Oreochromis niloticus: one gene and its partner. The main gene of each other region encodes a partner of the protein of the gene in region 2 in a complex. Links are inferred from orthologs where the notes say so. Each region holds a gene or a part of one and is shown on either strand. Other genes may lie near its edges.

Region 1 (10,880 bases), on a different chromosome or scaffold from region 2:
GGACACAAATACACATGTTAAAACAGAAGGGAAACTTCCACGCGTCAGTGATAAAAACATAAACTCTTCCAACTACATACTTAGACTCCAGCTCTCTGAGTTTGGCTCCTGCTCCCAACTGATCGTTCTTACGTTGCCAGTTCAAATCCTGAATTTGCTTCCTGTGTGGCAGAACAAACACACAAACAGGTAAATATTAAAACACGTTAAACACCGTGTTTTGGAACAAAAAAGTTTTGAGGCAATGAACTCACCTGAATTTGTGAAGTTCCTTTTGTGCCATCTCAATCATGAAGGCCAAGTTGCTGAAGAAAAAAAACAAACACGACACGTGTTAGCAGTATTTCCCCACAGACATCAACACTGTGCAGACTGGATCTCGAGACTGTACGCACTCGTTGTAGGCCTTCCATGCGTTGGTTCCATACTGCGACATGAGTTCCAGGTTCTCGATACGGACCGCCTGGTGCTCCAGCTGGGCCATCGAGTTGTTCACGCACTCCTGCCACGCTGTAATGTCATTCTTCTGTCCTGATGAGGGCGCCGGCAACTCATACCTCAATGAGGAAAACATTTATTAAAATACTGGTGATCAGCAGTGCTAAACCTCTGCCTAGTAATAATGGATTGCATTTACATAGCGCTTCTAGGCACCCAAAGCGCTTTACAATTCCACTATTCATTCACTCTCACATTCACACACTGGTGGAGGCAAGCTACAGTTGCAGCCACAGCTGCCCTGGGGCAGACTGACAGAAGCGAGGCTGCCATATCGCGCCATCGGCCCCTCTGGCCAACACCAGTAGGCGGTAGGGTAAAGTGTCTTGCCCAAGGACACAACGACCAGGACAGAGAGAGCAGGGGGATCGAACCAGCAACCTTCCGGTTACAGATGAGCTTCCCAATCCCCTGAGCCACGATATCAACACGCCGATGGTATCAACTTGAAAATCCTACATTGTTGTGTTCTTCAATTATCGCTCTCACAAAGTTTTCAGAAAACTTGACCTCTGAAGTTGAGGTTGAGGTCACCGAGAATTCGTCTGAGATTTTTTAGTAGATGCACCTATGGTATCGTCTGCAGCTGCTATTCTTTAGTTATTGCATTCACAAACTTAGGTGTCCACGCTGCCTGTCCGGGTGACGATAATACCCAATCAGCCTTTTACAGCAGAGGGTTAAACTTTAACATGCGAACCAATAAATCAGAAATGAAGGCAGAAGAAAAAGCAGAAAAATACAGTTACCACGCAGTATTCCAAATATGTTGGAATACTATCCACAATGTACATTTAGAAAAACAACAACAACAAGAGCTGAGTTAACTGGCCTGTCCGAAAATGTGGACATCATTTAAGTGCCACATAAAATGTTGAATTTCTATTTTTTTCTTTCTTTTTTTTTTAATGTGGTGCCAGAATCATGTATCATGTGCCATGTGACTTGAACAGTTGTGTAATTAAAGAAGGGGAGGGATATAGCTACTACTGAAAAAGCAAGTCATATAAAAACAGTTTTTTTTTTTTTCACAAGAATCTATGAAATCCTGTGAAAAACTAAGTACATCCATTCTGCTTCCATATGAATTATGACTGTAGCAGCCAGATCATGCCAATCAAATGTAATTTATTAACTGATCATCAGCACCTGTGAGCACCTCTTTAAAAGCTGAAGTTTTGTCAGTTTGTTATAACGATGCTACAGTCCTAGCAACTTGTAACACAAGGTCAGATCGTGAAATGCTCAGAGAAACTGCAAAATGACCAGGGACTACATCTCAGACTCTACAGGCCTCGATTAGCATGTTAAATGTTAAAGTTTATGACAGTAAAATTAGAAAAAGTTGCATTTGAACAAACCAAAACACTTCTGTAACAAAGTCTTTTGAACAGAAAACCAAACACAGCACATCAGCACAAGTGTCTCACATCAACTGTCAAGCACGGTGGATTTTTGCTTGTTTTGCAGCCACAGGGCCTGGGCATCTTGCAGTCACTGAGCTGACCATGAACACCTCTGTATACGAAAATATTCTTAAGTCAAATGTGACCAACAGCTGAAGCTTTGGACAAAAACTCACAGGACTGCACAACAGCAGATCAACAATTTAAGAACCACATTTTGCATCGTCCTTGACAAACTTTAAATGAATGGTTGTGATCTTTGGGCCCTGAGACTACACTGCATTAAAAACATAACTTTACAGTGTAAATCAGTGAATGGGTGAACAGCCTAGAAAGAACTTAGAAGCAGTGTAGTAGGTTGACGATATGAACTCATCTCTCTTCCTCTGTGACAAATAAGCAAAAAGCTCAACTTGCAGCTAAGCTACCACCAGGCTCTTACAGCTGGCAGGATTTACCTCTTCATACTCAGGAGCTCCATCGGCTGCCGAGCTGCCAACCGCTCAAATTCATTCCTCATTATTTCTGTCTGAAGGGGGTGAGAACAAAGAAGAAGTGCCGTTATTTCCTTGTCAACAGCTGAAACCACTAAGAAGGTTTTAAACTGATGAGTTCATCACCTCAAAAGCAGAGAAATCAGGAGTAGGCAGGTAGCTCAGGTAGTTTTTTGTAGGTCGGTATCTTCTCGTCTCTTCTTCGACCAACGCTGCTGCCTGAAGGAGGAAACAGGATTCGTGTTTGGCACGGGGAATATTTTGCAGCCACTGGGAAATTCACTTGAAATGAATTGCATTAGAGTTGCACAATTCACTTCTTGTTACTCGACCACTGAAACACTTTGAGGTTCAGCCTTTTAATTAGGAATTCATCAGTTTAGAAACTGTGGGCCAATATTTATTGGTTAAAAGGTACACTTCTCTTTTTTTCATAAACATGGAAAAATGAAACAGACCTTTAGCGCACATAACTTCTGATAACAGACTGGGACTAGTGAAAAATCAAACATTCCCATTGCTACCATATTAAAATATTCTACTGCAACAACTTTTGACAAATGCAATATTATTCTTGAGCATGAAGGAGATCAATGACTGGACAAGTACAGTCACTGAGTCATTGAGCTGCAAGTTGAGAGAAGAATTTGAGAAGAAAAATAAATGTTGCTGTAAAACTGTTCTAGTCTAATGGACTCCAACTTACAGCAAATCAAGAAAACATTAAATACCGCTCACATACTAAGAGGATAAAATCCAAACATAGGCAATAAACACCCTCATATTTTTGTCAGATTTAAGAAAAATCATCAAGTGCTGAATGAGTAACTGTTTTTTTGCCAAATGATGCTGCACACACTGCCGTGGGAGTGTCAGAGTGCTTTTTTGTTGTCAGCTCTCCTGTTATGCCACTTTGGTGTGACTGTTGCAATAGCTGCTCTTACTACAGACTGCAGAGCTGCATGACACAAACGGCAGTAATCTGTCTACCTTAGATGTGATGAGAGCAAACTGAGGATCCAGGGAAAATGTCTTGATCAGTGAAGTGTTTAGTAATGACTACGAAGAAATTATTGAAAACACTGACACAAATATATATCAATGTGCAAAAGTCTTGAGCTACCCCTCATTTGTTTCTTGGTCATTTTTTTAAAAGTTGTCTGAAGCAACAGCTCTCAGGCTTTGTGAAGATCTTTCAAACGTTTTCTTTGGACACGGGCTGCTTTCTCACTAGTTTTCAGTGAGAAAACCCAACTTAAATTGTATCTTTAGATACTTTGTCACCAGCAGCCTCTTACAATAACATCTAATTTTTCCCCCCATTTCTTTTGTTAAATCTACAAAATAAAAATAAAAAATACAAAGAAAAACCCCGATAGAATCCATAAAATACTGTTTTGGGTCAACAAGTTGATTGCCAAAGAGCTGTTAAATGGAAATTTCGTATTTCTCTGCCTGTTGTGAAATTTGAAGAAATTGAACAAAACAAGAAGTGGCAGACCTAAGAACCATCTACTGTATCTGAAAGTCATGTCTTTCAGAAATTAGAAAAATATAGCAGAGACCTGACACCGGACCTGAGATACACATCTGGACCATCATTTGACCCATCTACTGTTCACTTCACGAGAAATTATCTCAGTAGAAGGGTAGCTGTCAAGAACCAATTCTTAAAAATGAGAAAAGGGAAGAAATTATTCAATGAATCTATACATCTATTTCGCTTTTTTATCTAATAAAATATAAAGAAGGGGTTTTTCAAGATTTCATTTAATCTACATAATAAAGACACTGTCCTGACATGCGTCTGGTTAACAGAGCACATTACCCAGCTTCAGAAATCAAACTTATAGTGTCCGCTGAAACATTGCAGTGTGGCATGTAGCATGGTTAGCTAACACGCTGTGGTTGAACTGCCCGTTTACTCACCGCTTCTCTCACACCTGCCGCATCGTAACCTTGGTCGAAATATGGCAGAGCATCTACAAACACTTCTCCAGCTACTGAAGCCGTCCCGGCCATTTTTAATCAGTCTATATATCGTTCACTTTATTGAATTGTCTCGCTTTCTGCTAAATAAACTCAAAACCCAAGTGTCCCTTTTCTTCTTCGTTAATTTTCGCTTCTTCTTTGAATCTGTGCTTTAGCGCCACCGCATGGTTTGGAGTGTTTATCTTAATGTTTCTTCTTTGAAGCGTGGAGCATAGCGCACATCGAAATAAAGCATGCCATGAATTCATAATTGAATCTGCAATAAAACATTAATTATTAAATTCCTTTTTTAATGTTCTCTTTTAATTTGTTGTGGATTTTTAATTTGTTGCGGTTTTTTATTTTGTTGTGGATTTTTAATTTGTTGCGGTTTTTTAATTTCTTGCGGATTTTTAATTTCTTGCGCTTTGCACTTCCCAGCCACCGTAATTAACAAAGTAATTCATTATTTGATCAATCAATAGACATTAAAAATACATATTTTCTACAAACTATTAATACATATGAAATATCTCTAACTGAAAAAGGGTTTACAGACAAATATATGAAATACTTATTAAAAAAACAGCTTGAAATTAAAAATGTAAAAACAGATTTTCAAAATAGTTTAAAAAATACAATTTAATAAGAGAAACAGGTCAATGGAGTTAAAAACTGAAAGACAAACCTTTCTGACATTTAAAATGATGATGCCATCCCTCATTTTTAATTCCATTTCTGTTCCTTAGCTATTGGATTGGCTATTGGATTAACTTCTCTATTTTGGAAACCCTGACCTCCTCAGCAGTATGTTGAGTCTAAACAATAAATCAATGATCTTATTATTATAGGATAATCTATTTGATTAGCTTCTCCATGTAACCTTTCCATGACTCTTTTGGTCTTTGTGAATAAAACAACGCCAATTAGCCATAGCAGAGTTGTGCAATCCTAACGTGACCCTACACAACTTGTTAGTACTCATATTATTTTACCAAACCTTTGATGCCTAAGCTTAAATGCTAGTTATTGCAACATACTGGACATTGATTGCTTACGTCCAACATACTGTGAAGTAAGAGTGGGATTTCCTCATTGGAGAGGGTAATCCAATAGCTAATAGGAAAAGAGAATGAATCGAAAAGGGAAACAAGCATTATTTTTGATTTCAGAAAAGTTTGTATTCCTAATTAAATTGAGGAATTCATTTACTTATTTCTATCTTACATTTTATTCTGTAAAAATTTGGAAAATCTGTTTTTAACATTTTAATTTGGAAATACTTTCTTAAATTAGTTTTTTATTGAGTGTTTCAATCTTTTGCTGTAAATTGCTTTTCATTTAGAAAGATTTACCTCCTGTTTTTATTGAACAATGAATTATCAAATAATAAATTGCTTTACTGATGCCTTAATAAATAGAATATATTAAAATGAATTTGTAAATTCATTTACTGGTGAATATTTTATTGGGCAATTAATTATTAATTCATGAAATGCTATAATAATGTGGGTGACTTTCAGTGGTGGTCCTAGCCTGTTTGGCGCCCTGGGCGAACACTCCCTCTGGCGAGTTTTAGCGAGGGACCACTGTAATTGTGAAGATAAGTCACAACATACCCTTCGTAAATACTAATATATAGAGACCCTTACCAGCAATCATTCATGTATTTTTTATATCCTGTGGCTTTTTTTCACGGTTTGTTGACATGCTGTGGAGGTGTGCACTTGACCAGCTGATATTTGGCTTTGACTCTTGTTAACCTGTAGTTTGAATACTGGACATTTCCCTCTTTAAATCATAAGAACTGTCACTATACAGAGATGTGCTTCTGAATGTGGATGATTCTGATTTTGTAATGCAGGTTTGCTTGTGTTGAGTAATGTAAACAACCAATCGATCTACACGCTTCAAACGTCAAAACTGATCATTTGATTTTTTTATGACACAGCAATGATGAGTGTTCCCACCTCCTGCTCTTTGTAACTTAACGCGATCTCTCCATTTTCCGTATTTTGGACATGATTTTGGAGTCCACCTTCGCAGTAGCGATTGACCGCAAAATAAAGTTACCGGAAATGTACAACCCTACATCCGGTCTTAAAACAGGAAGTTAGCGTTTTCTCGTGCACAGGGTCTATGCGGCCTTCAAATGCGTCCTTCATTTCCCTGGATTTTAAGGATGGGTCGGTGTAGACTTCATGGCCCAACATATCCCAGACTTCATAGCGCGGCGGTGGGTGTGGATAATTTTGCCGAAAAAAACGGCGGAAGCCGGGCGGCAAAACAGTAAACCTTTAAAAGTAAGTACTGAATATTATGTTACTTATTTATGTGCAAATGTTTAATAATGAAGAACATTAAAACATTAGCAATGTTAGTACTAACTTGGTTTTAAAGCCTTTACTTTAAAATATACGCCGCTCAATAGCCTTAATTTTACAGAGAATGTGATGATTTTATGGACAATTAAAGTCAGTCATATATCCACAAACACAACAAGCTGAAAGTCAGTGATGCTGCTCGGTTTGCAGTCCTGAATATCACGGCACAAGCAGGATTCACTGCACTGTTCATGTTAGCTGTGTGCTGCCTCTGTTCGGTGGAGTCGAGCCAAACGGACTTTAACGTGTGTTTGAACGAGGTGACGGTTCACTCGTTAAGCTGAAAGAAAGATGCTTTAATCACAGGAGTCACACATGTGTCCACTGCACCATCTGGGAACTCTTCTTGTTTAGCACTCGTAATAACACAAACACTAAATCCTCCTTCTCTTGTGCTGTTTTGTAGCAGTGTATACACCTGAGACTGTCACCTGTCTGTCTGTCCTGCACTCTTTCTGTTTCTTTCTCTCTGATTGTGGAATAAAAGTATGAACATGTATTTATAAGTTACACTTGTGTTTGAATCCTGCAGCTTATCACACATTTGATTTCCATGTGTGACAACTGCAAGTGTCCAGAGTGAGGACAGACTGAGGGACCCACTGCTGCACATCATCTGTGAGGCTTTGCACCCCTGATGATCCACCAGGACAAACTCAGCAGTGTGTGAGGAAGAGGAAGAGGAAGAGTCAGCAGCAGCTGACAGATGGAGAGTATAGACAGACTGTTCCCTGTTTGTGAAGGACTGCTAGGAAAGTTTAAAATAACTAATTGTCTGTCCTGAATCAGTCTTATTAGGTAATGTTCAAATAATTTGATCATTCCAGTGTTTTCAGTGTGGGAGAAAGTACTCAGGGCCTTTAAGTTAAACACTATGAAAGGCAGCAACAAGTTTAATATTCAGAAATCTGAAGTATGTATCAGCAGCAGAATGGAGCTAAAAATAAATGTCCATGTTTGTTTCAGTTCTATGAAGCTTTGAGTATTTTGGATTAGTAGTACTGCTGTGTTTGTTGCATCATATTGCTGTAATTGTTTATATGCTTTATATATTCTGAGGTAAGTTGATCTATAGTGTTACATCATATTCTATACTGTAAGGATGTTATGTGTTTGTATACTTTCTGCCCAGTTTGACCCATTTAGCAGAAGTCAGCCTGTTTAAGGCTCTGATATCTATTCTGTACGACTTACAGCAGTTATGACATGGTATGATTTTCTCACCCAATAAAGGAATATTTAATATATCAGTCTGATCTTCATTCTATCAGAAACGGTTATCACAGCTCGTACATTTTCTTTTTACACATATATGTAAGCATTGAGCCAAATTTAGTAATGCCAACATATTAAACTAACAATTGTCTCTTATATATAATACATCTATAGATACACTGTCAGAGATACTTGTCTTTGAGTGAAGATTTAAGGTGAAAGGAAATATAAATAACTGCAACTTGAATCTTTACTGAAGCTCAGTATTTAACACAGAGTTCAAGTTCACTGCTGTAATAACTAATAATGATTAATATAATAACTATAACATTGGCCATATTATATTTACATTACCAAAGTGAGATGACTTTAGTCTCATGAACAACATTAGCTAATTGTTATTTACTAGCTAACCTTAAAATAACTGTTCAGTACAGAAATGAAGCCCAACAATCATGTTTTACAGTCCTGTGGTCTCAGCCTCAGATACTTATTAAATCACACAGAGCTCATGTAGAAACAAACAAATGAACAAGATATGTTCTCCTTCATTTCTGTCAAACAAAGCTGTATGACACGTTTCCAGCGGTTAGTATCATGGTTGCTAGGCAACCTGGGCAGCGCGACGGAGGCTAGACCGTCCCATTTCACAAGCCTCGCACTTCCGGCCTTAGCGGTCTTTGGGTACGCGGCCCTTGAGGACCGTTAAGGCTGCGTACTTTAAGGCTGCAGACCCTGAATTGGGATACAACCACAGAGTGGCGATTTGTTTATCGGCTACTTTGCGCCAGAAAGAACATCAGCTGATACTACAAAGTAATATTAAATAAATTCTAACAACAGCTTATCAAGCTTGAACGTGCTGCTGTTGTTTAGCGCAACATCCGCTGGTTTCTGCTTTCTGGCGCAAAGTGGGCAATAAACAAGAGAGACGGCAGAAAAGCCGATCAGCTGATCAGTTTCATGATTGAAGTGGTAACAGGAGAGGGAGGGGGATAGAATGAGAGAAGAAAGGGCATTTGTGCAGCAAAGACACAGAATAACTCCAAGCTTTGTGTCTTTTTTTCATTCTAGCTGAAGTCCGGGACGAATCCCGTTCCTTTTCACCTCAATACGGATGTATTGTAATTGGTCCAGCCCAGAGTTCATCACGATCAAGTGGCTAATCCACCACACTTCATTGTTTATACCCTTACAAAAACAAACAAACATAAAAGTGAAAAATCAGCAATTTGGTATGCCCAATGGCCTGTCCAGCTGTGCGGTTAGCTGGTGGGTAACAGGCATCTCCAAAAACATTAGAGCACTTTTGCAAATATGTGAAGTCTTGATGAATTAAGCAGACATTTGAAGTTTACACAGCACCATTCTCGCATGAAAATATCTTAAAAGTTTATTTTGTGATCCAGAAAAAGTAATATTTACATACAGTTATTAAATTAAATAAAAATAACTACAGATAAGAGGCAAACCAGGTTGTAGTGCGAATCGGTTAATTAACTTATGGCAGTTACAGCGCAGATGTAAACATCTATGTTTGTTGGGAGCAGTTCTGATTGTACAGTCTGACAGCTGCGGGGAGGAAGGACCTGCGGAAACGCTCCTTCATGCATCTAGGATGCAGCAGTCTGTCACTGAAGGAGCTCTGCAGTTCAGCAACATTTACATGAATGGGGTGGGAGACTCTGTCCATCAGAGATGTTATTTTGGCATGAGTCCTTCTGTCTCCCACCACCTGCACTGGGTCCAGGGTGCATCCCAGAACAGAGCTGGCCTTCCTGATGAGTTTATCCAACCTCTTCCTCTCAGCTGCCGATAAACTGCTGCTTTGCACGCAGCAATGAATTTTGTTCACTCAAATTTAGCTTTTCTTCGCTCAAAATAAATTTCTTCTCAAAATGCAACACTTGCACCTGCAATTTTTTTTTACGTGGGCTCAGAATAGTGGCACAAAAATAACGCCATACACGTCTGCCATTAGGGAAGAAGGGAACGAAGAAAGTAAACTGGATGTCTGTAAAATTAACTAGAAACTTGTGAGGCGCTAAGGTATAAACACCTAAAGAAGATAGTCTCAAAAGGGAACACTAAGTTTCTAGTACCTGAGTAAAATTTATCACACTGCTTTTTTGTTTGTTTTCAATGAAGTGACCCAAATGCTTAAGCAAATTAAGGCCTGTTTCAAACATGAAAGGCAAGGGCATCAGGCCATGACGTCAGAAACTCTGACAGAATGTTCTTTGTGCGCGTTACCTATTTTCAATCAGCCAATAGGGAGCGTTGTTGTGGGCGGGGCTAGTTTCAAAGATGAAAGGCAAGAGAATCATGGGCTGACATCAAAGTCAACCCAAACCCATAAATAGCCAGGTGAAACCGCACACTGTCGCACGTTTCTTACTTACAGTCACGAGCGATTACTGGATGAACTTTTGTTCTGCTACCCTCAGTCTTATCTCAATATCGGATTCATTGTAACACCGTAGCTTTGTTCTGGAGCAGGAGAAGAAAGTCCTGGAGGAAGAAAATAAGAAAGTCCTGGAAGAGCAGAAAGTGGTGAAGGACACAAAAGAAATGGAGAAAAAAATGGATGAGCAGACAAAAGAATTAGAGGAGGCAAAGACAGAGACAGTAGAAACGGTAACCCCAGAGAGATACATCCTCCAGACGTATCTGAGCACAGATGAGATCAACCAAATACAGGAGACAAAGGCTGAAATATCACCATGGGAGAAAACACTGAAAATGGAGGATAAGTTGTGTGTGAACAGACTGATCCAGTTGGTGGTTTCACAGGCCATAGAAAAAGTCTGCTCTAAATACAAGCTCTTCACAGAGCGCCTAACTCCCGACTGCATCAGCGATCGCCTGATTCAGAAAATCTGGCCTGAAATTGAAACAATGAAACATTTGGA
Region 2 (11,024 bases):
CTTTCTCCTCTGCTCTCTGTGACTGACAGCTGAACCTGAGCTGCAGCACATACGCAGTCACAGCAGATGAAGTGTCCGTTCCACTTGATTTCACATGAAATCTGCAAATGTGGCACCTTCCTCCAAGGTTGTGTGGAGCTGCACACAATCTTATTTGTGCTCTAGAGTGCAACTACCTTGAAACACTGAAAAAAAAGGAATGGTAGACTTTACTCCAAAAGTCACATTCACTCAGCTTTTTTTCCCCCTCTGCAGTGACTCTATTCCCCACCAGTGAGGCCCCCCAACAGTACAGAACTGAAGGTTTAAGGGAGAGAAGCTAAAACGACTGGTTTGGGACAGATGATGAACTGAATAAATCAGTATAAGATAAATAAGGAACATTTTCAACTCTGAATCAAGCACAGCTGAAACCTTGCCCATACATCTACCACAAATGCTCAGCGTCACAAGACCAACTCTAAATGTTCTTAAAATTTCAGACAGCAGCAGCCCTGAAGCATGCACACACACAGACACACAGACACACACATCCTCAAACTCCAACTTCCCCAGACTCACCTCCAGGCAGTCCAGGCACAGGATCAAGTCTGGTACCCATCTCACTGACACCATCTTTGATTCCCTCCTTTCCTCTTGCTGCCTGGGACCTAAATGGGCACACAGCACAAGTCAGACAATGACTAATGATACTGCAACATTCACCATCCAGGAGAAACAATTTTAAGCCTCATGCCTTGCATAATTTGATTAAACTCTTTCTACATTTACATTTTGAGTCGAGCATTGTGTCAGGGCGTTACCTTTAAACATGGCAAATGATCACTTTTAAAATTTACATCTTCACCTAAATGGCTCTCCTTGATGGGGGTTTATGGGGGTTAAGCTTAAAAGAATCAAATTGCAAAATGATGTTTTGTAATGCACATTGTTATGAGCCCTCTTTAATGGATTCATTACCTTCTGGTGTTGCTCTTAATATTCACAAAGCTGGACAATGTTTAACTTTTGATCGGATTCTTACCTTCCCCACTTGACGGTGAGTCTTCGTCCGTTAATAATGAGTTTGTTGAAGGACTTTTCAGCAGCCGTTTCAGCCGACTGCCGCGTGGCAAACTGGATGAAAGCGCACTGCTGCCTTTGGACTATGGTAATGGTTCGGATTTCACCAAACTGGTAGAAGTGACTCCTGCAATGACACAGATAAGAGATCATCATACACAAAATAGTGAAATAAAAATATTGCAACACAGCAAAATTTACAAAGTAAGTAGAAATAACAATATCCGCTTGTGGCTGTAACCCTCTAGCTGGCAACAACAGCTGTCTAGCCTAATAATACATGTAGCGGAAGCTTTAGAAGAGTTTATTAGGCAGGCACGAAAGATTAGTGTCACCAATTTAGAATCTGACCAAACGTGACATATGACCACAATCTCTTCTTCTTTTCCTGAATTATTTCTTTGAGTAACAGTCAGCAAATTGCTCTCGTAGAACATCCCATCAGCATTTTGTATTACTGGCAAACGCCCTTGCTATGCATCGCGGAGAAGGAACAAATGTACATATGCTACGATCATTACAGTGTAATGCTATGATACATTATATTGTGACAACATTCTATTCTGACACTGCACCGCTCAATTGAACTGTCAAATGTACAACAATAAACGACTGTGGGATTTCTATAAAATACTCCTATAGGCCATACAAATGTTGGCACTCACAGTGCCCTAGGCAATGTTTATACAAAGTTTCATCAAGATTGCTACACTTGTGTTGGAGGCGATAAGGAGCATACAAAGATACATACGCTATGATCATTTTAGTATAATTAGACATTTGTATTTTGTATTATTCTAACCAGCTCATCTTTGTTTGTGCCACATTTAAATAGAGATGAGAGAGATAAGATAGGAATGGAACAGATGGATGAACAGACAGCCAAAAACACAATGCCTCCAGCCACGGCTGTCCCGGGTATCGAGGCATAACAATAAATTATCACAGCAAGCTGTAAAAGAGGTCATTATGAAGCAGAAATGCTTACTTGAGGTCTCCATCTGTAACAGTGTCTCCCAACCCCCCGATGTAGAGAGTGGTGATGGATTTGTCCTCTGGTGGGTCCAGTCGGGGCATAGTTGAAGCCCGCTTTAGCAACTTGTCAGCCACTGGGTCATTGATGCCATAGTAACGATCCTTTATGTTTTGGTCTGCTAGAGGGTCATCAGGATCTGTGGGCTTCTCGTGCCTGTGTAAAGAGGGCAACCGAAAAACAATAAATATAATATGACACTTCAACTAACCCATAGCGATGTCTTAATATATGTGAGGTGATATTAAAAGAAAGAAACAATCGGCTCCATGGAGACTAGCATCATGGCACTCACCTGTAGGGACATTCCTCCCCTCTCTTACACTCTCCCTTCACCCAGAAGGAGCAGATGTGTGGCCGGTTCCTCTTGTAATATGGTGTGGTCCGAGCCAACTTCAGCAACATATCACTAGAACTTGGAGCCTTACCAAGCTGGCCCACTGGCCGAGTGCCATCGGAATTGGCTATCTGTAAACAAAAAAGTCCAGAGAGGCATGATGGATGGAAAATCTCTCTCTTATGTTTGCTTAAAAAACATTGGATCAGACATTGGACCAGTAAATACTGTTATCACTGTGCAAGCATACTGCAGTCATGAGAAAGGAGCTTTTTTTTTTTTTTTTTTTTTTACCTCTCTCTCCATGTTCTGTGTGTAGTACTCTTTATTCACATCTGACCGAGGAACCTCATCTTTAACGGAGAGTCCAGTGTCTCGGACTTGGATAGGCAAACCTGTCAAACACAAGAGATGGCAGGAGGGTTACGCTCAGAACTACATAAATGAGGGGCTCATGAAATCTGCACAGCGACAAAACCCAGAGGAGCTGGTCCGAGAGACTCACCATACTCCAGGTCCAGCAGACATGTCTGACAAACATTTTTCATTTTACTGCAGGTCTGACAGACTTCTGTCTTCTTGAAACGCATACGTGTTCCTGGACACCATCGGAACACGGTAAAGGGCCGAGCACAGATCTGATAGGCGGAGAGCAACGTATTAGAATAGAATAGTTCTTTATTGTCATTGTACATGCATCAAACAGGCCTGTATACTGTGGGCAATTTATAATTTAAACAGTTAACACGAAAGAAAGAAAAAAAACCATACCTTGCATTCTTTCCCATATTTTTCCTTGGTCTGTAAAACAAAGCATGAACATATTTGGACTTGCACATTTGCTGATATTAACACTACACAAAGTGTTAAAACAGTCTTGAATTTGCTATGAAGACACAGGGATACTCACTCACCATACGAATGTAAGGATTTTCTCCTAAACATGTCTGACACAAAATCGGAAAATCCTGAGGAGAAAGAAGAACTGTGAAAATCAAGCACTGTAATCCGGTTTATCCAACAATCCCTTGAATTAAGTTATTCAACAGACCAACTTGGCTCTCCATCTCTGCTTCACCTTCCTTCTGCTGTGAGCACCTTGGCACACGTACAGGTAAGAGTGAATACAGGGAGCGCTATGGGTCCTATTTTGCCATCTGTTAAAGGATGCTGTTTCAGTCCGAGTGCTGGGTGCTGAAAACGGCCTTGCCCTAATCCGTCTCCCAGACAGCATCAGCCAAACATCTAAATATAAGCAGATCTTATGGCTGAAGCGTCATCTACATAATCTAGGGTTGCAAAGTTTAGTCTAGTGTCTTAACAAAACTAACATTGGATAAATGTCCTGTGGTGTCATAGCTCAATTAGGGAAAGTGATTTGTTGCCTTATAGGGTAAATAATCTTTAGGTAGGTCACAAACATGTTTTGTGTTTCCTTTATAAGTAATTAAGGACTGGTCTATTTGTGACCTTATATAACAATCACTGTTGAAATAGTGCCCAGCAGTGTAAAGACTATTTTTATAGACTAAATTTTCTCTAACATTTTCACAACACCGCTGTCAAACCTGCCTAACAAGAAGGTTTGGTTTTTCAATGTCACTTTGCTTATGCGACTTTACAAAACAGTGGTGCCACCCCGGACTGTGTGGCTTTTTCGGTTTCTTATATTCATTTATATAAGCAAACTTTCACCCGCCTACCATCGTTTTAGCATTGTTAGCCTGCTAGTGCTGGCCTTCATAGGTGTAGCCAGTTAACTATCACACAGCCCAGGATTAAATTACGTTAGCAATGATAGCTGTGAGCTCAGTCGCTGTTGTTTTTACTACAACCTAAAAATATGCTCTAGTTGGATCCAGCGGAAACAGGTACGTTTCATGAACTAACGTAAAATATCGTAAGCAACGATGTATACAGGTGAGCTATTGAAGCTAGCAGCCACGCTTCTACAACTAGCTACCGCTAGCTAGCGGAAGGCTAACTACCAAGAGAACTGAATAGTTTAGTAAAAAGCTAGCGTGTTTCCCGATTATATTTACTCATAAAATGTAACTTAACATCAGTCACTGGAACCACTCGGTAACATATAACCCCGATAAAACGTACCGCGTCTTCCCAGTTCTGTCTGTTGTAAGTGTTGGAGCCTAGGGAAGTCGCCATTTTGCTGACTGTGGAGCAACCGGAACGGGTTGCCAGGTCTCTGCGTCAAAAACCACCCCAATAGCCAATCAAAACTGGCGCCCACAGCAGCCAAAGCTGGTAGCGGTACAGGCAGCGGTCGGCAGAGAGTACCTGTACGTGGATGACATGTGAGCTAGACTCGGTTTGCTGGGATATGTAAACATGTATGTAACTACATATTAATATATGAATTGTTTCATTTCAAAAATGAGTTTGTATTTATAGATGTACATGGAAGCTCCTTCGAAAAGAGTCTACTTAACCAATAATTTGTACTCAACCCGCCGGGGGGGGTAATGCAGCATTTTAACCTTAGCCCAGTTACGGGAAAACTGCAGAACTGGCAACCCTGCAGATCTCGCTGTACACTTGGCGAAAATTTTTAAAGTGACTACTGTTTTTACTTTTAGGTTTGAGTCTAGATTAAGATGTGTTCTATCAGGACTCAGTTTGAGGATGAGTTTAGTTTAGCGGGATGTGGGAATCTTGTGTAGTCTGCGAGACTACAAAAGCCCATAATGCACCTCGGGCCAGATAGCCACGTTTCACCTAAGGATGTCGCTCTATTTCAAGAAACTATCAGGTTTACGATAAAATAAAATAGGAACGTAAATATCAGAGAATAACTGTGAGCATTGTAGAAATACTAACCGTGACTCGTCCATCTGCACCTTGGGTGTAAACCTGAGTGTGTTTTTGCTTTTCCCTTTGGCTCTATGACACGAACTGTTAATTGGGACAGTGTACAATAATAATTTACCTCAAAAACATAAAACGCAACTGGTGTTTTTGAGTAAGTCTTAAAAGTCAGTGACCTAATATGATATCGCTTACAACCTGTGGGGAGGTTTAGAATGACTTTAATGCTTTATTTGCTTAACTGAGGTGCTGATACAGAGATATTTGTTGTAAACAAAGGCTGCAAAGTGCTATTTCCGGAGACAGGGAAAAACAGAAGACAGACAGACTGCTTGGCTGATGTGTGAGAGCTTGTGTAAGCCAATTGTGTCCTCGACACACACACACACACACACACATAGTTTGTCTGTCCACCTGCTCTGATTCAGGTCAGGGTGTCTTTGCGGTGTGAAACTCCAATTAGTGGGCCAAAGGATGTTGAAGATTACAGATGGCAACTAAGTCCCTAATGTTTATTTAAGGTCAGAGCGAGGTTGTGGAGTCAGAGGGCAGGGATTAGATGGAGGTCTGGAGCACTGGCAGCATGCAGCTGCCCTTCAGCAAGTCAAGATGAAGCGTCTGGGATTCTTTATGGCCACCTCCGAGTGGAAAATCCCCATGTTGTCCTTTTCCTTTTGATCTCTTACTTAGATTTAGGATTTCAAGTATAAACTGGTTGAATTCTATGAGATAGGTGGCTCCATTCATTAATGATTGAGGGTTTGAGTAATCATATTTACATAATAGGGGAGCAGATGGAAATTTCCACTGGCCTTCTCCTGTTGTTTTCCTTCAAATGGGGTGAACAGGCAGTCTCTTGCCCTATAGCACAACAAAGCAAACCTTTTGGGCACAGCCCTTTTGTCCTAATGAGTTTTCTGACCCTTTCTCCTTGATCACGTGAGCCAAAGTTGTTTTGAAGGACGGCTTTGTCTCGGATTTAGCCGGCCTGTAATTAAAATCACCAACCGCAAGAGTTACAAGGTCAGAGGACGTGTAGGTGTGCTGCCGCATCTCAGATGCTTCGTGTTACAGAGCCGCTTCAAGGAATCATCGCCTTGGTACTGTGTGAATCTGTTTGGCACATGACATGACAGACATTTGGTTGTTATTTAGGCTATTTTGGACCATTGTCACCAGTTTTATTGCACATGATTCAAAGATATTGATGTTTGCTGTGAAATGTTTTGTATTATTAAGCATTACTAAGAATATGGTTGCAATTACAAGTATTCTATTAGACATACCCTTCACAAGATAATGAAAATACTGTAGGTTGAAAGGATAACTGTAGTAATGCAGTGATAAAGCCACTATGACTCAACACTGTGTAAGTGATTCTTATAAGGAAACAGAGACTGATGCAAAACCGGTTAAATGACCTAAATGTTGGCTCCTTGTTGCGCACAGCATTGCTTTCCCTCAACTACCCCTTTGCCTAAAAAATATCTAAAACTTTTAAGTGCAATTTTAAATAGTTTTCGACAAACGTGGAAGCACAAGAAGACAAATAATCTCCGCATTGTCGAGCAGGGACGCTCCCGCAGTAATCTCCTGCAGGAACAAGATCGCACAGTGATTTCTTTGAGGAGTTCTGTAGCTTGCATGCATGCGCATATCAGAGGGAGGAAAAATGCGCCGCGCTGGCGCCTCCTGACGACAGTTATGGGCTACTGCCTGTGCACAGAGCTGCAGAAGAGAGGGTCTTTCTCACATTTCCCGATTTCTCCCAGCCGAGTCCGCTCTGCCCGCTTCCACATCACGGCCGACAGCAAACCGAGACGACGTGAGACCGGCGCGCTTAAATCACCACATTCAACCCGGCCGGCCTCGTGTGCACAACATCCGTGCGTCGTCACACACGGACAAGGTGAGTGAAAATCGACACGACCGCACGGAGCGTCGCGGTGTTTTTGCTTGTATTTGGTAGGCGACCGAAAGCGTCGTCGCTCGGTCTCCCCAGGCCAGGCTAGTTGTCTGGCGCAGACGGAGATGAGGCCAGTTTTTTTTTTCCGGCCTGATCTCCCTCTCTTTCTCTCTGCCCACTAGCTGGGAACATAAAGCCCCGGCGTTGTTATTATGGTGGCGGCCCCTCGGCACAGATTTCACGCTCGTCCACGTAGCAGCGGAGATCGAGGCGCTAACGTTATTGTCGTGGAGCGGGTCGGGTGGAAGTTTGTGTTCAGGATAGAGCCGCTCCGTGATTTTCACGGGAATTCCTTTATCGAGTGGGACCCGGCGGCACAGCTCGGCACCGAGCAGAACTGCTTTCTGCAACTTTGTGGCTCAGTGTGTACGGTGTTAAGAAATTATCGCCCTCCCATAAGTTTGCACTATCCGGCCGCAGTGTTAACAGCAGACCTGTTACAGTGCTGTGGTTAAAAAGGCGAATGATAGTGTGCGTAAAATAAAAACAGATTTATGCGAGTGTCTGCTGCGCGTGGAAGAGGCGGACAAAAGATTAGCACGGGAGTGTAACTAGTGCTTTAATATGACTTCATTTGATTTAGATGATCATATTTTTTCTTGAAATTTGCTCGTAAAAAGCTGCTATTATGGGATGTATCAGATACCTGTAGGAGTCATCTAAATGCTGGTGTTTGTTTATGTATTTTTCTAATTTACTAACTGTTTACAACTAATAATGTGAAGCTGATTAGGTCAAATTATTAACCAGATGAGGTTTTTTTTTATTCTGAGAAAGTGGGACATTTTCAAGTGCACGAGAGAGGCACCCGGTTCTGATATGTTTACATGTGGCTTGGTGGTTGTTGTAAAAGGGCTCCAGCCATGCACAGAAGGAAGGCTCAGATACGATTTGTGTCTTCTCTCTGTGAGCCTGCTTTGTTGCTCTTGTCTGGCGTAAAATAGAGCAAATGCATGCCTCCACCAAGCACCGCATCCGTTAAAAACTATAAAGACTTAAAAAAAAAAAAAGAAAAGAGAAAAAAGGGGGGGTTGGCAGTCCAGACCTGCCTGAAATCTGTTGCCTTGGGGCGTTGGAGCATGGAAGTGTGCACCTCAAGTGACTAAGAGATTACTAAAGAACAGTGACTCACGCTCAGAATGTATTTGGCAAAGTCACAAGGACTTTCCCTGCATTTCCCCTCAGCTGCAGAGCAAATTTTTGCAAGTGAAAAGCGGTGCCCTGCTGATTTTTATGTATCAAGAGATTCATTTGACCATAGCTTCACTTTTTTTTCTTTTCCTTTTTTGCTATTCCCAAGCCATGTGTTGTTTATCAAATGTCCCACCCTGCATCTGTGGAGAGAGAGAGAGAAAAAAAAGTGGGGCTTATTCCATTTGCAGATTATATTTTTTAAGGAGTGAGGTTGCTGTCATTTGTTTGTCAAAATTTTGTGGAAAGCCGGATCCTAAGTTGTGTTCTATTTATCCGTGCCAACTGTTTGTCTGGTTGTTCTAACCCTCCATCTGACTGCTCCCACTGGCTGCCAACCATGCTGTGATCTAGCGCTTTCGGCTGATGAAGGCTGCCACTGCTGCCGCATCCATTTGATCATATATCAACATCTTTTCACTTAGATATACCTGTGAAACGGCACGGCAGGGCTACAATGCCTACACACGCGCACACACACATACACAGGTTGATAAAATAGCGCGGGTATGATGCTGTATGACAGATCGCGTCACCGAGGCGCGTCTTGAGCGTTTATCAGAATGAGGCATGATCACAGGCTGTATGTCATTGTTGATTTTAAGGTTTTAACAGGGAACAGAGGGAGATCGGCTGTCGATCAGAGGCTCCAGCCCTTCGTTGTTGCTTATCTCCTTGTAGAGGCGGATGTAAATTTAATTGTATGCAGTAACTATCATCACATTTAAAGCTACGCGCAGTAATTGTTGGGAGCTGCAGGGCCCAACAACTTGCCAGCGCTTGTATTTTTCCATGTCACTGCTCCTTGTAGCTCCACTCTGTGTGTGGGGGGCAGACCTCTCTTTAGTGTGAGGCTGAAGCCAGGCATCTTTCCAAACTCAACTCCCCCCTCAACAACCCTCAACCTTCTCTGCTGGTTATAAGCACTGCTTTGTGCCACAGAGCTGCTCCCTATGGTTTTTATTCACATATTACTACAACACCACTAGCTCCACAAGATACTGGAATCTGCAATTGGACGTAAACCCAGCTAGAGCCTGCTGTCTGACAGACAAAGTCAGATGTTTCCTCATTAAAATGAAGCCTTTGGATTAATAAGCCAGAGTTCGAGAGGCAGATTGCGCCACTGTTGCCTCTATAAAGTAGATTGCGTTTATGTGTCTTTTCTGTCCCGGAATGTGGAGGTGGCATTTTGGGGCTTAGGCTGGGCTACCATGAGACGTATTGGAGAGCAGGAGCAAAGTAAATACATTTCAGACAGCGCAGCACAACTGGGTATTAGCAAATGATCCGATAGCATCTGTAATCCTCGGGAAAACCTGGAGAGTTGTCTTTGAATGGCGCTAGCGTCCATCCAGACAGTTGGCAGGCGGTAGGGGTGTCCACATGTGCGAGTGGCTGGCTAGGCTAGCTGAATGCTACAGTATGCAGGCAGATCAGATTACTGAACGATTAGCCATGGCCTCCCATCCCCGGCCCGGGGAAATGATTTTCCACTGTCATAATTCCCTAGACTGAATTACGCAGGCCAGTGGCTCAGAGATACTCTGTACTACTGGCCTGAGTACCGCATGGTATAACTGTTGCTCTCTGGGGAGGGGAGATATATTGTGACCCTCGTTGTGCCAGAGCACAAAATTGTTTTGTTTTGTTTTGGGTTTTTTTTTTCTATTTGAATTTCATTATGAGCCCTGGGACCTGCTTTCATGCACAGATGGCAGTGTGACCTGGCTTCAACTTTGGTTGCACAAAAGGTGGAGTTCAGCGTGGTGTTTACTCTTTAGCTGGCAGTGTGACGCAAAGGAGGAAAACTGCCCTCAATACAATGAACTGTTCCTCTATTGTGATGCGTACTAGGCTGATCGGCGATGAGGCAGTGCGAATCAAGCAGGCCTCTAGTGGAATTTTACTGAATGGAAAGCAGAGGGGGCTGGGGGAGGAGGGTGGAAGAGAGAGTAGCTGGTGGAGGTAGGACCATGTTTCCGAGGTGCATACCCCCTGAGGCAGGAATCCGATACATTCCAGAGGATCCTGTATCCAGACGAATAATGGTAACTGGGGTGTTGTGTTTCATCAAATGACACATGACTGGAGTGTAAGTGCTGGGAAATTAAGACCTATGTCATGGGCTTCGAGGTAGCCGGCTCTGGTTGCCTGAGGGGTCAGAATGTATGCCAGAAAAGCAAGACAGGTCATGAGATATGGCAGGGAGCAGGGTTTTTTTTTTTTTAAATCACACCCATTTCCCCTTACCACTGCTAAGATAGAGACATTTACATCTCTTTAGGCCATTTAGTTGACACGCTCATCCAGAAAAAGATACAATGAATGACGTAGTAGGAAAAACATCAGTTGTCTTTAGTACATTAAACTCAATTGTGCTCTGATTAGGCCCACAGCGGGAGTTATACTGAACAAAGATTGGCTGTTAAATTGCTTCTAATGAATAACAAAAGAGCCTCGCTTGGCTACCCTCTGTATAAATTTTGATAAGAAGCTGTTTCTAAGGTCCACTGGCTTCTGAATATTGCGTGACCTTGCTCTTCGTATGGGTTTTTACATCTTCACTTTCCTCCAGATCAACACCACTAAATCAATGGGTTTAATTTTCT

Evidence for each region.
Region 1: rbm22 (region 2) and bcas2 share a complex: the UniProt entries of both Homo sapiens proteins name them as parts of the postcatalytic spliceosome P complex. The link is inferred for Oreochromis niloticus from reciprocal best matches to the Homo sapiens genes RBM22 and BCAS2.

Annotation. Positions count from the first base shown.
Region 1 is NC_031984.2:28,670,116-28,680,995, reverse strand, and holds the start of bcas2 (pre-mRNA-splicing factor SPF27), read right to left. Parts: upstream 4,547-10,880; 5' UTR 4,421-4,546; coding exon 4,328-4,420; intron 2,618-4,327; coding exon 2,525-2,617; intron 2,434-2,524; coding exon 2,363-2,433; intron 558-2,362; coding exon 396-557; intron 306-395; coding exon 255-305; intron 162-254; coding exon 81-161; intron 1-80. UniProt on the Homo sapiens protein: Required for pre-mRNA splicing as component of the activated spliceosome. Component of the PRP19-CDC5L complex that forms an integral part of the spliceosome and is required for activating pre-mRNA splicing.
Region 2 is NC_031966.2:25,334,833-25,345,856, reverse strand, and holds the start of rbm22 (pre-mRNA-splicing factor RBM22), read right to left. Parts: upstream 4,695-11,024; 5' UTR 4,596-4,694; coding exon 4,542-4,595; intron 3,401-4,541; coding exon 3,347-3,400; intron 3,234-3,346; coding exon 3,204-3,233; intron 3,071-3,203; coding exon 2,938-3,070; intron 2,828-2,937; coding exon 2,727-2,827; intron 2,564-2,726; coding exon 2,391-2,563; intron 2,252-2,390; coding exon 2,051-2,251; intron 1,190-2,050; coding exon 1,025-1,189; intron 651-1,024; coding exon 562-650; intron 1-561. UniProt on the Homo sapiens protein: Required for pre-mRNA splicing as component of the activated spliceosome. Involved in the first step of pre-mRNA splicing.